Alligator mississippiensis: one gene and its partner. The protein of the gene in region 1 purifies or fractionates together with the protein of each later gene. This does not show direct contact. Links are inferred from orthologs where the notes say so. Each region holds a gene or a part of one and is shown on either strand. Other genes may lie near its edges.

What was found. Proteins that work in one complex are often made in the same cells at the same time.
Region 2: the proteins of SERBP1 (region 1) and PRMT1 purify together in Homo sapiens (affinity purification with mass spectrometry; 3 studies listed by BioGRID and IntAct, with this or other methods). This does not show direct contact. The link is inferred for Alligator mississippiensis from reciprocal best matches to the Homo sapiens genes SERBP1 and PRMT1.

Annotation. Positions count from the first base shown.
Region 1 is NC_081828.1:18,225,925-18,233,506, reverse strand, and holds the start of SERBP1 (SERPINE1 mRNA-binding protein 1), read left to right. Parts: upstream 1-4,570; 5' UTR 4,571-4,672; coding exon 4,673-5,063; intron 5,064-7,582. UniProt on the Homo sapiens protein: Ribosome-binding protein that promotes ribosome hibernation, a process during which ribosomes are stabilized in an inactive state and preserved from proteasomal degradation.
Region 2 is NC_081828.1:40,022,375-40,030,054, forward strand, and holds the start of PRMT1 (protein arginine N-methyltransferase 1), read right to left. Parts: upstream 3,001-7,680; 5' UTR 2,948-3,000; coding exon 2,918-2,947; intron 1,914-2,917; coding exon 1,860-1,913; intron 159-1,859; coding exon 57-158; intron 1-56. Other genes in the region: BCL2L12 (bcl-2-like protein 12), read right to left, coding at 3,987-4,236, 4,636-4,841, 5,306-5,412, 5,490-5,651, 6,086-6,498, 7,502-7,680. UniProt on the Homo sapiens protein: Arginine methyltransferase that methylates (mono and asymmetric dimethylation) the guanidino nitrogens of arginyl residues present in proteins such as ESR1, histone H2, H3 and H4, FMR1, ILF3, HNRNPA1, HNRNPD, NFATC2IP, SUPT5H, TAF15, EWS, HABP4, SERBP1, RBM15, FOXO1, CHTOP, MAP3K5/ASK1, MICU1 and NPRL2.

The sequences.
Region 1 (7,582 bases):
CCCCCACACACACACACACAAACAAAGGTGGTGCAGTGGGGTGGAGGGAACCTGTCTGCCTGTGGGATGTAGTGGAGGGGAGAGTACCCACCTGCACATGTGTGTGGGGCGTGTAGCTTGGAGGGCCTATGGCCCCTACAGTGCTTCCTCTGTGGTGTGGGGCATATAGTCACTGGCCACTTGGGAGTTAGACAGCCCTGATGTAGACAAACCCTGAGATAAAGTGGCAGTGCAGCCTAGTGGCTAAAACCAAGCCCAAGTGCTAGAAACTGCTGGATGGGGTCGGGCCTCCCTAACCCATTTCAATAAATTGTATAGCAAAATGGCATTCACTTGCTGCTTGGTTGAAAGCTGCTGTGCCGGATGTCGGTCTAAGCAATCAGTAACCAGCTACATGTGAAAAAACATAACCGCTAATGAGAGGTAAGCCCCTGACCCTTTCTACCCCATATAGAGCCTTTTACAAACATATTCCAACTAGTGGATGGTTTTTGGCTGAATATTCTCCTACATCCTCTTGCAGGAAACGACTATCAAGAAACCTGGCAATGTCCAATCCTCTTCTACTCATAATTTTGCCTCCTGATAATTTTTCTCCAGCGGACTATTGACTTGTCTGCTGGGCAACTAGCCAAAGCACCTTATTTAAATTTATCTTTGAATATTCCAGCTCTGGACTGCCAGAGCAGACAGCAAGAAGAAATGGATAGGGTAACGATGTGGACTTGAACTTCCAGTGGCCACATTGCCCCAGGGAAATGTTAAGCAACCTTAAGTTGCAATACTGAGGAGGAGTTGGGGAGTGATGATCGCTGGCCTGTAAACATCCAAGTCACTTCTGCTACGCTGTACTTGACGTGGTCTAAAATTAAGTAAAAGTTACTAAGTTAAACAGGACGCTTGGTGAGTGAAGTTTCCTGAATTTAGGTTAGAAACCAACTAGTGCTCCTATATTACCAAAACTGTTCTGTTCTGTTATTGAAAGGTAAGATGCCTATCCCCACAACATGTTGTGCAAGGACTTTCCCTTTGCTTTTTAAATTTTTTTTATTTTTTTATTTTTTTTAAGCAACCGCAGTCAAACAAGGTGACATTTTAGGCATGTGTCAACATTCTAATTTAGATATTGCAATATTTTTTATGGTCAGAATTAGTGGGAAATTTGCAGGTGCTGAAAATGGTGAATTATAGAATTTATGGATTCATGTTTTTTGTCCTTTTTCTATAGAATTGAATTAATGTTTTGAGTTTAAACCACACTTCATTCATCTATGTTGGGCAATGTCAGTGTTGGGTCAGTAGATCTGTAGAATGTACCTAAAATATGAATGTAACCCAGTTGGGGGGAGGGCAGGGGGACAAAAAAAAGGCCCCAAAATTTAAAGTGTACAACCTCCAGAAGCCTTTCTCTCCTCTTAAACAGAATTAGTGAATGATCACAATATTCTCTGAATTTACTTCTAAGAAGATATTTTATTTTAACGAGTCTTGTCTAAGGCCTACTCCACAACACTTGGGGTATAATTTTAAATTGACTTGTTCACATCTATGTTTGGAAAACGTGTGTGACAATCCTAGTGGGAACAAGGCAATTTTATAATCTTTTTAATATCTTTATTTATAGATGGTGTGAGTACACCAGAGAGCAGTTCTGGAGCTATGAACTTCAGTATTGCAAAGCGGGGTTGAAGAGAACCACACTTGTGAGCCAAGGCAGCAGTTTAAGTGGCTCTACAACAGTGCTGTATCCTGAAGATTTATATAAGAAGTGCCCAGAAACTTTTCTTATTGGCTGTGCGCTACGAAAAACTACGACCAAAGGTAATTGACTGGAGAATCTCTCTATCTAAATCAGGGGCAGGTAAAGCCTGGCCTGCAGGCCATATCAGGCCTGTAGTGGCCTTCATTTCCCTACAGCCCCTGCCTGTGTTGCTGCGGCCAGTTTCCATGGAGACCCCAGCAGCAGTGAGGCCAGGGTTTCTTTCCATGGAGACCAGCCCCAGCAGCACTGGCAGGGCATGCAGCTGGGTGGGGAGCTGCTCTGGGATTGGGATCTTGCGCTGGTGATGGCATGGTCTGGAGCCAGGGCGGAACTGCGATCTGCTGCCCCCATACCTGGGGCAGGGATGTGCAGGCTGTGGATCATGGCTCTGCCCTGGCTCCGGACCATGCTGTCACTGCTGCAAGATCCCAGCCCTGGCCTCATAGTAGCTCCTTGCCAGCTGTGTGCCCTGCCAGTGTTGCTGCAGCCAGTCTCCATGGAAACCCTGGCCCTGAGGTCCCACTGCTGCTGGCATCTCCTTGGAAACTGGCCACAGCAATGCAGGCAGGGGCTGCTGGGACATGGAGTCTGGTACTGGTCAGATCCATCATTTTGACCACCCTGATCTAAACAAATCCCTTCCCATAACCAAGAACTCAGCCTCCATGTCTTTATCATCAGTTGTTCTTAGGATTTCAATTCAACCAGTTATAGTGAGTGCTTGTGGCTGATATCGATAGCCATTCCCCAGGTCACAGAATGAGATCACCCATATATTTGACAGACGGAGGACCCAAGCAGATGGTAACTCATTTTGGTCATTTAACTTGGATCACTTCCTGAAATCCTGATGTGGAGTTACATAATTGCTTTGAAGGGTGATGGACATGGTGCCCTTATCTTTTCATCTGCTACTGCTTTTGAAAGAGATTTGTACATCTCTAGTACGAAGGTCCTTTCCCTGTCTCAAGAACAGTAGGACATTGAGTTAAATCTAAGGGTGGGAAATTTGGAACCAACAAATAGTTTCTCACACAACTTGGTTAATCTATGAAAGGTATTGCCCCAAGACATTAATAGAGCCAAGAATTTAGTACTAAAAATGGATTGGCTATCTCTAGTTGTTAATGAACACCCAGCCTGTCAGAATTGCTGTAAAACTTTTGGAAGGACCACTAAACCTTGTGCATTACTGCTTAAACTAGTCTCTAATTTAAATTAGAGACCAGAGGGAGACTTGTACAGGGCAGGTTATCCCATAAATGGTGTGTTTTATGCTGTCAGAGACAGCATATAGATGTAGTTTTTTAATGACCTTGTATCTAGCACAGCATAGATGCACCTTTCCATCTCTGGGAACATCCTTCTTCAGCACTTTCATCTGACCATGTTTACTCCCTAATTATTAAATAAGATTTCAAATGTTCAAGCCAATACTTCACGTGGAGTTGGCCCTTCCTGTTTTACCTGCATTACTTCTAGGATTCTCACTCGATTTTTATCATAATTGTGTAAGAACCCTTTTGAGTCTCTAAATCAAGCAGCAGTTAACAGTAATCTGTAGCTCAAGATTGTCATCCCCCACCCCAAACCCTATCCCCTAAATATGAAAACACCCTGAAAATGGCTACTGTGCCACTATTGGATTCATATGTATTTGCATGCGAGAGAAAAGGAGACTTTTTATTTTAAAAGGTTTGGGCTAAAAAATTTGATAACCACAAGACACCTGATCCCTTGTTTCACAGTACTTTCAGCCTTACAACAAAGAGAAACCTTATTTGGGGGAAAAAAAAAACCAAACAAAGAACAAAAAAACTAAATTTGAGTTTCTACACTGACTAGAAAGTACCTTAAGTGGTTTCAGGCAGAAATACAAGGGTCAATGTATAGTAAAACTGATCTGAACATATCAACATATAAAAATGCATGTTGGTCTAATCACAGATCTGTGCTGCTTGCTTTTACTCCATATTCTTAAATGCTACCTAAGTTTATGCAAGTTAGAATGGCTTCCTATGCAGATGATAATATATTTCCCTAAAATTTGTAAATATGCAGTGGCCAGTCTGACTAATCCCTTAACTAAATCCTACAAATGCCAAATGGTTTTGTGGCTTTTTTTTAAGTAGTACTGTGTGTCCTTAAGGACACTAGGGGAACTTTTATTTTTCAAAAGTATTTTTATTTTTCAGGAAGACTCCTGAAATCAGCTGCATCTCTCTGCATGCCTATCTAAAAGTAGATGAGGATATGGACTTTTTTAAGTGACGAGAGGTACAAAGCAAGCGGCCACTCCCCTCTCACTTGGTCGACTCTCACTTGTTGCCAGCGTGAGCTGCGGTTCCCCTGCTTGAGCGGTGGCGGGTTGGGGCGCTATGTCTTGCTGGCCTGGGGTTAGGGTCTGGATAGGGGCTGCCTCCGTCCCTTGCAGAGAAACATGTCGCAGATTGCAAAGACGCTTATCCGGTTTCATTGCACATTCCGCTCCCTCCTTTCCGTATTTTAGTCCTTTAATGCTTCCCCACCCCACAGCTGCAGGCTGGAGCCTGCGCGACACCGCCACTCTTAGGCGTCCCCAAGGGCGGCCGCACGTGGCTCAACTCCCGGGGCGGGCGAGCAAAGGGGCCCGGAGCCAGTGCGCAGGCGCGGCCTGGCCAGCCCCCTGCACAACGACGGCGCGGTGGCCGCCGGGAAGCGTAGTCCAGCCCCGCCCCGCGCACGGGCTGCCAGCGGCGCGGGCCGCCTGCCGCTCCCGTCGTGCCCCGCGCGGGCGGGCGCCGGGCCCCGGATGTTCCCGGCGCCGGAAAAGAAGCGGGTCTCTTCAGGGTCGGCCATCTTGTGCGGTCGCGGGCAGGGGTCCGGGGCCTGGGCAGCATCGGAGGAGCATCCCGCCGACAAGGGCCCATCATGCCCGGACACCTGCAGGAAGGGTTCGGCTGCGTCGTCACCAACCGCTTCGACCAGCTCTTTGACGACGAGTCCGACCCCTTCGAGGTGCTGCAGGCGGCCGAGACCCGCCGGAAAGAGAGCGGCGGCGGCAGCAGCCAGGGGGGCGGCGGCGGCGGCGGGGCCCGCAGCGGCCCGGGGGCGCCGGCCAACTCGTCGGGCGGGGCCGGCGGCGGCGGCGCGGGGCAGGCGGGGGCCGGCGGCGGCCCGGGCAGCGCGGCCAAGCAGCTGCGCAGGGAGTCGCAGAAGGAGCGCAAGAACCCGCTGCCGCCCTTCGCCTCCGCGCCCGGGGGCGCCGCCGAGCGCCGGGACGAGGGCAGCGCCCAGCCCGCCGCGCCGCTGCGCAAGGAAGGTGAGCGAGGAGGCGCCGGGGCCCACCCACGTGCGGCCTCGGGCCTGCAGCGCGGCGATGGGGCGGCGGCTTCCCGCGGGGGGGAGGACTGGCCTGGCGGGAGCCCCGGCTGCTGGGCCGGGGTCGGGTGCCTGGGAGCTGCCCGAGTGCAGCCGGTGGCTCCCGGGCCACGTGCGGGCCCTGCCGCCGCCTCCTTGCAGGTGCCGCAAAATGGAGTCGGTCTCTTCATGCCTTGTCCGCTGCTACCGCTGTTGCTGTGGTGGAGCCCGAGCCCGCTCATGCGAACAGCCTGGGGATGGGGAAATCCTCGCTGGGAAAGAGCTGCCAAGAAACGAGGCCTGGAGTCCGCTCAAGGGGTTGTGGGGATTAACAGCCCGGGATTGAAGCTGCCTTGTTGGGGGAGGGGTGGGGTTTTTGTGGGGGATTTGGTTGGTGGGTTGTTCGTTTTTTTTTGTTTTTTGTTTTTTTTTTTTAACAGGTTCCCCCCCCCCCCCCCCCCCCCCCCCAATTGGTTGAGGGTTGTAGAAACTGGCTTGTGGCCTGGCTTGAGGTTCCTTTGAATGGGATGAATGTTAATAACTTTGCGTTCTTCAGATGCATCGTTCCCTGACGTCGCACGTGTATAAGCATCGTTCGCTGACGTTGCACGCAACCGTTTAATGGGCGGGTGGGGGAGCGTAACTTCTTATAGGAACAAGCGAAGGGAATAAAATGGAGCAAAATTAAATGAGTTACTTTTCATATCCAAACTAATGGTGCAGCACTGTGTGAGCACATGCTAAATCTTGTGCATGGGCCTTGTTTCGTAGCAGACAATGGGACTGCCCTTTTGCATATGTTTAGGTATTTTCAGGGTTGTGGACACATTTTGGAACATTTACTGTAAATGCTGCTTTAGTGTCTTGAAAGTGCCATGATATTTGGAGAAGGAAGCAAGGTGATTGCAATGTAGCTGAGATGAAGAAGCCTCTTCAAAAATCTTTAGAGTAGAAAAGTAGAATTGATATAAAGCATGACATTCATATTCCACTTCCCTTCAATACATCATGTTGGAAAATGATCCTCCGGACCTTTTCTGTTGCTTGAAAAAAGGTGAACAGTTCTAATAAAACCTGTCACTTCAAAACATTTTATCCAGGAAAATATTAAGGAAAACATTTTGTGTTAGGCAAAACTGAGAAACAGAAAGGGAGCATAATTTATTATCATGTGGGTATTCTCTACTTCAGAGCTGGGGGCTTAAGACCAGTTCAGAGCTTTGGTGTTCTTAAAAGTGGAATAAATGGTACAAAACATGATTGATAGTTATTAAGTGGTGGGGGAAAATTTATGAGGAGGGAAGACAGACTGCTGCCACACCGATTGTACTTGTGTTGACCCCTGGTTGACATTGTAAACTTTGAGATGTTTATTTGGACAACTCCCATGTTGAAAAAGCTCTGTTTTCTTTATTTCAACTTTCTTGTGCCTCCAAAATGACTAGTAACTTGAGCCTTTTTGCTGCAATTGAAGACATCAGAAAAGGGCAGGTCTGTTTGCTAGAATACATAAAGATGGTTTCAGATTTGTTGAGATGTAGTAGTTGAGAATTCAGTTTTAATTTTATGTGATCCCCCCCTGCTTTTTTTTTTTTTTGGTTTGGTTTTTTTCATTATTGTTCCCCCTAGTGCAAGGACAAAATGGATGGATAAACATTATTTTATAAGTTTGATTCATGAATACAAATGTGTCGACTCACCAGTCATGAAATTTTCTAAATTGCCCACGTGTTAGTCAAAAGAATGGCAGCTTTTCAGTTGGTGAGCTCTGCATACTTTTATAATATATAACCTAGATATGAATGTAGTTGATAAGGCAACAAATAAGGATTTTTTTGTAAGGTACTGGCCTGGGACACGAGATCTGGGTTCATTTCAAGTCTGAGTTAGTACTACTTTACAAAGTAAATCCATTTCATGCAGATTATTTAACAAGAAGCTTTATTTATTTATTTATTTAAACTAATGTTGGATAGTGTTTCTAGAGCAGGGAAGCCATTGTTCATTTGGGTGTTTGACATGATGGAGATCATTACAAATGCAGTGGCTATAACCCCACCCACATATGTTGCTTGCTTGATAGGGGTTTGCTCAGTTGGGGAAAGATATAAAATATCACAGTGTTCTTTTAATAAGAGGACACAGAGTATAGTTAAATTCCCAGTACTTGAAGTGTAAACAGAATCCTGCAAAATAATTATGGTAGCTATTCTCAGAGAAAAGTTACTATTTTCAAAGCCAGATTTCATAGACTAGGGCTGGAAGAAACCTCAGAAGATCATCGAGTCCAGCACCTCGACCGAAGGGCAGGAAGTCAGCTGGGGTCATAGGATCCCAGCAAGATAAGCATCCAATTTTCTCTTGAAGGTGTTCAGTGTAGGTGCTTGAAAGATATTTTTTTCTCCTCAGATATTAAGGCTGTCCTGCTGATTTGATCTAGAATTTATTATGTAGTTTGATTGGGCATTAGAGCAATTTACT
Region 2 (7,680 bases), about 22 Mb from region 1:
CACCTGGAGTGGGCACCCCTCCCCCTCCAACCTCCACCCCAGGGCCCCGCCCAGACCTCGTGGATGCCAAAGTGGGCATAGGAGTCGAAGTAGTAGTCCTTGGATGTCATCTCCTCAGCCGGGGGCTTCCCACTGCCCTCAGGCTGGGTGCACGAAACCTGCAGGAGGGGTAGGAGCGATCAGACGTATGCACCAAGGCTGCGTGCTTGTGGTCACAACCAGGGCTGAGGCCCCATGGCTGGCACGTGCCCAGCCACTGCCTTGCCCACACCTTACTCCCATGGGCCAACCCAACCTGTACATACTAGTCATGCCCCCCAACAGACCCACAAGGCCCAGCCAGCCCCATATACCCCACAGAGCCACAGGTCCTGCCAACCTGTAGTATACATTCCACCCCCCCAGTCAGCCCTGCAAGCACAACTAGTCCCACATACCCCCCCCAACGCACCAGAGTGGGGCTGGGTCCCCTTCCCCTGCTGTGCCCATCAGACCCACAGCAGAGCCCACTCTGGGGATCTCTGCACCTTGTGTGTCTCCCTAGAAAGGAGCGGGAAGGGGCAGTTACCCCCCACCACCTCACAGACTTGGCCCTGAACTTGTCCTTGCTGCCACCAGGTCCCACCAGCCGGCCCCCTGGGGCACTGCTTTGGGGGAGCTCCACTGTCCCCCCCACCCTGGGGTCCCCACTGGCTACAGCCTAATGTCCCTGGCCCCAGAGACTGGGGAGGGAAGGAGCTGTAGCAGTAAGGACCTAGGGCAGGGCCCACCTAAATTCCACCCCCACCCCCGACTCAGTGCTGCTAGCCCCCCACCCCAACTCCTGGGTGCACCGAATACCCCTGGGGGAACCCCCACCCCAGCAGGGGTGCTGAACCAGGGGCGGGGGCAGGTGAGGAGGGCAACATTAAGGAAATTTATGAATGAGAAATGAATACAGCCCCTAGAACAGGGACGAGCGATTATTTTGGGCAGAGGGCTGCTTAGTGAGTTTTGGCAAGCCATCAAGGGCCGCATGACAGGCAGCCAGGAGAAGATCAATATTGATTTTCTAAATTTTTAGGGCCCCATGGGCCAGATAAACTGGCCTGGCGGGCCGCATTTTGCCCACCCCTGCCCTAGAAGGAGCAAGGATTTCCCTCCCCCCAGCCCCAACTCCCTTAATTCTCCACAACCTCTATATGGGGCCTGATCTTGGCCGCTCCGCTGTCTCCCCCACAACCAGCAGGGTCACTCCTATGCCCACTAGTCTACACAGACCCTCTTTAGCCACAGTGCAGGACTCTGCACCAAGCCCCACCCCCCCAACTCCCTCTACATGTTGTGAGGGTTTCTGTTACACCATGAGGTCCCCCCCACCCCTGATACAGGCTACTGGGGTCTATGCCACCCCTGCCTCACCCCCTGCAGCTCCTGCTTGGGCTCCAGGCTCCTTGCCACATGCACACACATGCACACAAACACCGCCTGTCCCTGCAAGACCCCCACCCCAGCACTGACCAGCTCCTCACTCCCATCCTACATAGGGGAGAGGGAAGGGGGAAAAGGGGATGGGGTTGAGCAATGGGACCCTGAACACAAGGGACACGAGGCTGGGACGCACCCAGGCTCCTGACTCCCGTAAGTCTAGAGGACAGGGCCACTGTCTGTCTGTCGCGCGTTGGGGGGGGGGGGGGAGGGACGGGACATGACACGGGACCTTGACAATTTGTGGGACACAAGAAAGGGTCTGTAGGAGTAGTGACAGGGTATGACTATGGGGACAAGGGGAGTGCAGGGATCCCCTCCCCTGGGGAAGGTGGTAGTTGGGATTTGGGGGTGGGGGGCTGGCTGGGCCCACGCACTGAAAGGATATTTACATCTTCTAGCGCAGTCCGCAGGCTCATCCCGTTAGCCAGCGTGGTGACAAACGTCTAGGAGAAAGCAAGGGAGAAAGTCAGCGCCGAGCGCCCAGGGCTGGTGGGGGCAGGGCCAGGGGACCCCTGCCTGGCAGCTGGAGGGGGGGTGGGGAGGTGGTATGGGCTGGATGGTGGAAGATGGGAAGACAGGCTCAGGGGGAGGGAGCAGTTCCTGTCCTCGCCTCCCACACGCGCACACACGCACACGCACGCCCCGACCCAGGACACACTGATCCTACCCCTTGGCTTGTGCCCCCCACCCTCCCATAACAGACACCTGCTGATCCTAGCCCTCCCCAACCCCCCCCAAAATAAAAACCCAACTAAATCTACTCTTGCCACGTCCCCTACAGATGGGCTGACCTGACCCCCCAGTAACGACCCACAGATTCTTCCCGGCAGGCCTCGTCTCCTAGAGGGACCCAGGGAACTTGCCCCTAAGCTCCCAGCAATACCAACCAATCGGGGGAGGTGGGGGGGGGTGGGTCAGTGAAGTCTCCTAAGGGGACCTCCTGCTCCTATTCCAAACCGTCTAGCGACCTCCTGATCCTGCCCCCGCCCCCGGCCACGTCCCCCAGATGGAACCTTGGATGCTGTCCCCCCCAGGAACACACTGATCCCACCCGCGGGCCACGTCCTCCTGCTCCTGCCCGCCCGGCCTGGCCCCACAAGGAGTCCCTGATCCTACCCCCAATAGCGATCCGCCGTCCCCCGCCACGTGCCCTAGAGAAACCCATGGACCCCCCCGCCTGGCCCGGCCACGTGCCCGCGCGGCTCAGCCCCACGTGGGCCCGGGGCACCGGGAAGAAGGGGAAAGGGCCGTGCCCCCCACCGGCCCCCAGCCCCACGCGGGGGTCCCGGGTGGGGGAGGGGCGTGGGGCCCCGCCCCCTCCTTTGTTCCCGGGCCACGTGGGACCCCCGCGGCCCCACCCCCACGCGGGGGAGGGCCAGCACGGCTGGACCCCCCCCCAACTACGGCCCCCGGGAGCCCCGCGCGCGCCCGCGCCCCCCGCCCGCACCTCCATGATGCAGTTGGCGGCCTCCGCCATCTTGCGTGCGAAGCCCGGGGAGAGCAAGTACCCCTCCCCCCACCCCTTGGGCCTTATAGCGGGGGAGGGCCCGGGCCCGCCCTCCGCCACCCCAATTGGCCGCTCCGCGCCGCGGTCCCCACCATTGGGTCGCGGAGATGTCGCTCAACGTGCGGGCCCCACCCTCACAGGCAAAGGGGCACTGCTATTGGAGGAGACCGTGAGGCTTTGCCCCTGCCCCCTTTAGCGGCGTTGAGGGAGGGAGATGTCACTCAGCTTCGCCGTCGCGGCCCCTTCGTGTAGGTCGAAGGCTATTGGACGAGATGAATGTCACTCACAACGCCCCTCACACAGGCTGTGGCTCTATTGGACAGCAGCGATGTCGCTCACGGTGAGTGGAACTTCTCATTGGTAGAGGCAAACAGCAGTCGCTCGCGTCCCACCCCCCTCAGTCAAGTGGCTGTTGTAGTGGGCGGCGGTAATGTCGCTCAAACGTAGTGAAACATTACATTGGCAGAGGCTGGGAGCTAGTCGTTAACGGGGACCTACCCCCCCCATTGAACCTGCGATCCCATTGGTGACCTGATACGTCACTCTAGCCCCCACTCCCGCCACCGCAGCCATTGGCCAGTCGCCTTGCCAGTCAAAAACTGGCCCCGCCCCCTCAACCCTAACCGAGGCCCTAGTAACAAACTCATTGGTAAGCCGCTGGGGAGAATGCAACCAATCGGCTAGGCGCTCTCCGTGCCTGGGGTCGCCCCCCCACGCTGAAATGTTCAAGAGTATGCCTGTCAGGTACAGCCCCAGCCCCCACTCCCCTCTGTAGGTAGCGAATACCATGCTTTCACGCTCTTCCTCCGCTACCCCTCTGCCCCCCCACCCTGGGGGACCCCTTGCCATCCCTCCCACAGGTGCATCGCAGCCCCAGGCCGGGGGGGGAGGTCCAATACAATACTCCCTCCCCAGAAGTGGCTGCAGCTGCCCTGCTGCTTCCCCATGGAGGGATGCAGGTGGGACAAGAAGGGTCCGGAGCAATCAAGAACTTTGTTAAAAATATTTTTTAAATGTTTAATAAGAGGTCACAATGGGCCCTCCATGGCCCCAGGGAAGGTATCTGTTTTGGGGTCCCCTCCAGCTGGATGTACCCTGAGAATGCCAGGGGGCCTCCCCATAGATAGGGGGCCACCCCATCACGGTGGCTTCTGGGGGGTGGATGGCCAGCTCCCCTCCCCCCAACCCAACTTGCATCCTGCCTCCTCCCCCTAGTCGAGCTGGAGGTCGAAGAGCTCATCCTGTCCCACGATGCTCTCCTGTGGGGTGGGGAGGAGGCTTGTAGGGGGGAGGCCCAGCCCAGATAGACCAACAGCTCCCACCCCAAGCATGGCCCACAGACAGCCCCTAGATTCCTTCCATGTCCACTGTAGCCTGGCCCCCTAGTTCATACAGTTTCCCCCCGCCTCCCCCCATGTGGCCACCACACCCAATCCCCTCTGACCAAGTGTCCCTTTAACCTATGGCCCCTGGTCTCCCCAGCCCAACCCAGCTGCCCCTTCCCTGGCACGGCGATCCCTCCTCCCCACATAATTCCCATCCCCTACCAGTCCCCCATGTAAATCCCACCCCATCACAAAGCCCCCTCCCCAGGCCGGCCTGGCCCCCCTACCCAGCCGCCCTGCTGTTGGAGCCAGGGCACGAAGAGCTCCATGTACTGGAGGCTGTAGCCCATGAGGGTCTGCACCGCATGGTTGCTGATCCCAGCCACTCTCCGGGTCAGCTCCATAGTGAGTGCCAGGCGCGTGAGCTGGGGGCTGGGGCTGCTGGGGGGCGCACGGGCGGCGAAGGCCTCGGCCAGCTGGGAGAAGCCGTGGAAGGACATGCGGGACAAGGTGCTGCGCAGCACGGGGTCTGTCTCCATCTGCGGGTGAGGGGAAATGTCATAGCATCAGCAGGGCTGGGGGGGGGGCAGGGGGATACGGTTCGGGAGCGAGGGCCTGGAGGAGGCACGGTCCTATAGGCTGGGAATGAGGGGCACTGGCTGGGCAGGGGGGGAGCAGGGGTTGCAGGTCCAGAGTAAGGGGCACTGGGGGAGGGCAAAGGGGGCTGTGGGTCAGGAGTGAGGGGAATTGTCAGGGCTAGGGAAAAGGATTGCAGGGAGGGCATAACAGTGGCTCTTAGGACTTGGGGGAAGTAGGGGGCTTCAGGTGTGGGAAAACTGACAGGGCTGGGGAGGGGCCCTGTGCTGGGTTTGTGGAGGTTGGGCTTGAGTGGCATGGGGTGGGGGCAGTCTGTGGGGCAGGAGGAGCACCAGGGAAGGCACAGGGGGCTGCAGGTCAGGAGTGAGGGGCACTGGCTGACAAGTGCAGGGGCTTAGGCCAGTACCTCCCGATTGATGTCCTCAGCCTGCTCTTCCAGGAGGCTGATGAGTCTCTGGATCACCTGCTCCCTGTGCTGCTCGCTGGCAGTCTCCGAGGAGTGGTCTGTCGGAGCTGGAGGCAAAGACAGGCCTGTGAGCACTTGGCTTCCGCCAGAGGGCAGGGAGCCCCTGCCCCAGGTAGCAGCTTACCTGAGTGCCTGATGCCCAGCTGGACACCGGGGGTCCTGGCCCCCAGCCTGGGGGAGGGAGCCCCATTAGCGCTCCCAGGGCTATTCAGCTGCTGCTGCTTCAGCAGTTTGTCCAGCTTCTGGGCTGCCTGGGCATAGAGAGCAGGGTCCTGCGGTGGCTGGCCTGGGGGGCAGAGCTGTTTAGAGCAGGGGGCTGTGGGCGAGGACATCTGGACTCTCCCACCAGCTTGCGGAGAGCATGGGGGTCCTCTCCTAGTTCTAGGATGTGAGTGGGGTCTGGTGAGATAAAGTTGGGGCTGGTAGCCAGGGTGTCTAGGGTTCTTCCCCCAGCTCCCAGAAAGCACAATGATGTAGTGTAGGGGCTCTGGGGGGCTGAGTGAGTTCTGGTAGGTTAGACGGGGGAGGGGGGATGGGAGCCAGGACACCTGGGTTCCCTCCTAGCTCTGGGTAGCACATTGGGTCCACATTGGGTGGGTTTGGTCAGGGCACCAGGGACTCCCCAGATGCCTGGGTTTTCTCCCTACTCTGAGAGGAACAGGACCTAGAGCCTTAGGACACCTGGGTTTCCTCCTGGCCAGTGTCTCTGGGGCCCCTTACCTTGTGCCGTGGGATCCTGCTGTCCCAGTGCAGGGAGGTCCGTGCAGTAGCAGGGGGTGACAGGCAGGGAGGTGGGGCGCAGCGAGGAGGGGGATGGGGGGGGATGGGGATCCTGCTCCTCTCGGGCCAGGCCCTTCCTCCGCAGCAACCCCTTGAAGGAGAAGGAGCGGGGGTACCGACGGCGCCCCCCCTCCTCCCCCTCGCCCCCCTTCTGCCTCTTGAGGGAGTCTCCACGGGCAGGCAGGGGGCCAGGGGGGCTGTGACGGGGGCTGGCCCGACGCTGCAGCAGCTTCTTCACGCTGGTTTTGAAGCCGTGCTTGCGCTCTTCCACCCGGTTGATGTCCTCGTGCAGGGGGGTCCAGGAGCCAGGGCGCAGGGACCCCCCGGGAGTGCTGGCTTGTTCTGGCAGGGGCCTGGGGGGTATGGGCATGGCCAGTCTTCCCAGAGACCCCTCCCAGCTCCCCTCCATCCCTGTGGACACGCCTGGCATCCCCACACTCCCCCATAGCTGTGCCTCCCCCAGCTATTCCCATGCTTGCCAGCTACACTTATACACCCCGTAACTGTGCCCCCCAGCTGCCCCATATTCCCCGCTACCCCTATACACCCCCATAGCCCTGTGCCCCCCAGCTACCTTTCCATGCCCCAATGGTTCTGTGCCCCCATATACCCCCACACCCCTAGCTACCTCCATAGCCCTGTGCCCCCCAGCTACCCCTATACCTCTAGGGCCCCCCATATGACTATGCCCCCCACCTACCCCAAACATAACCACAGCCCTAGGGCCCCCCACACCTTTAAGGTCCTTCCATACCTTTGTGTCCTCCCAGCTATCTTTATACACCCCCATACCTCTGAGGCTCCCCATAAATCTATAAACCCCGCAGCTATTCCTATACACTCCTATACCTCTAGGGTTCCCCCCACAACCCTGTTCCCACCCCCTACTACATCTATATACCCCTAGACTTCTAGGGCCCCCCATAGCCCTGTTCCCCTCAGCTACCCTACACACCCACACAGCCCTGTGCCCCATAGCTACTCGTATACACCCCCATAACTCTGTGCCCCCCCCCCCAGCTACCCCATATACCCCTATACCTGTAGGGCTTCCTCCACTCCCCCAACCTCAGTGCATACCCATGGGCCCCCCCTCAGACTGCTGTGGATGCTCCTAGGGTCCCCCCTGCCCCTGCAGATCTGCTCAGAGCCCCCCTCACCCACCACCAAGGTGCCTCTAGGGTCCCAGCCCCTGTAGAGCCCCCCATAATACACTCCCTGCAGAGCCCCCTATACCATAGTTCCACCCCCCACAGTCCCCTGCCCGGCTCCTGGGTTTGCCCTCCATCACCCGCCTCTAAAGACCCCCGAGGTTTCCTAGCCCCGGCCCCAGACCCCCCCCCCGTGTCCCCTCACCTGTGTGCGTAGCGCTGGGGGTCGTGGTAGCTGCGCCCCACATGCCCGGGGGCCCCCGCGCCTCCCCGGCCCTGCAGAAATGCCTCCAGCACCAGCCGGGTTTCGGCCTGCACTCGGCACCGCGGACGGGGTGGCGCTGGGGCCCCCGCCATGGCCCAGCCTGTGGGGGGGGAGCAGGC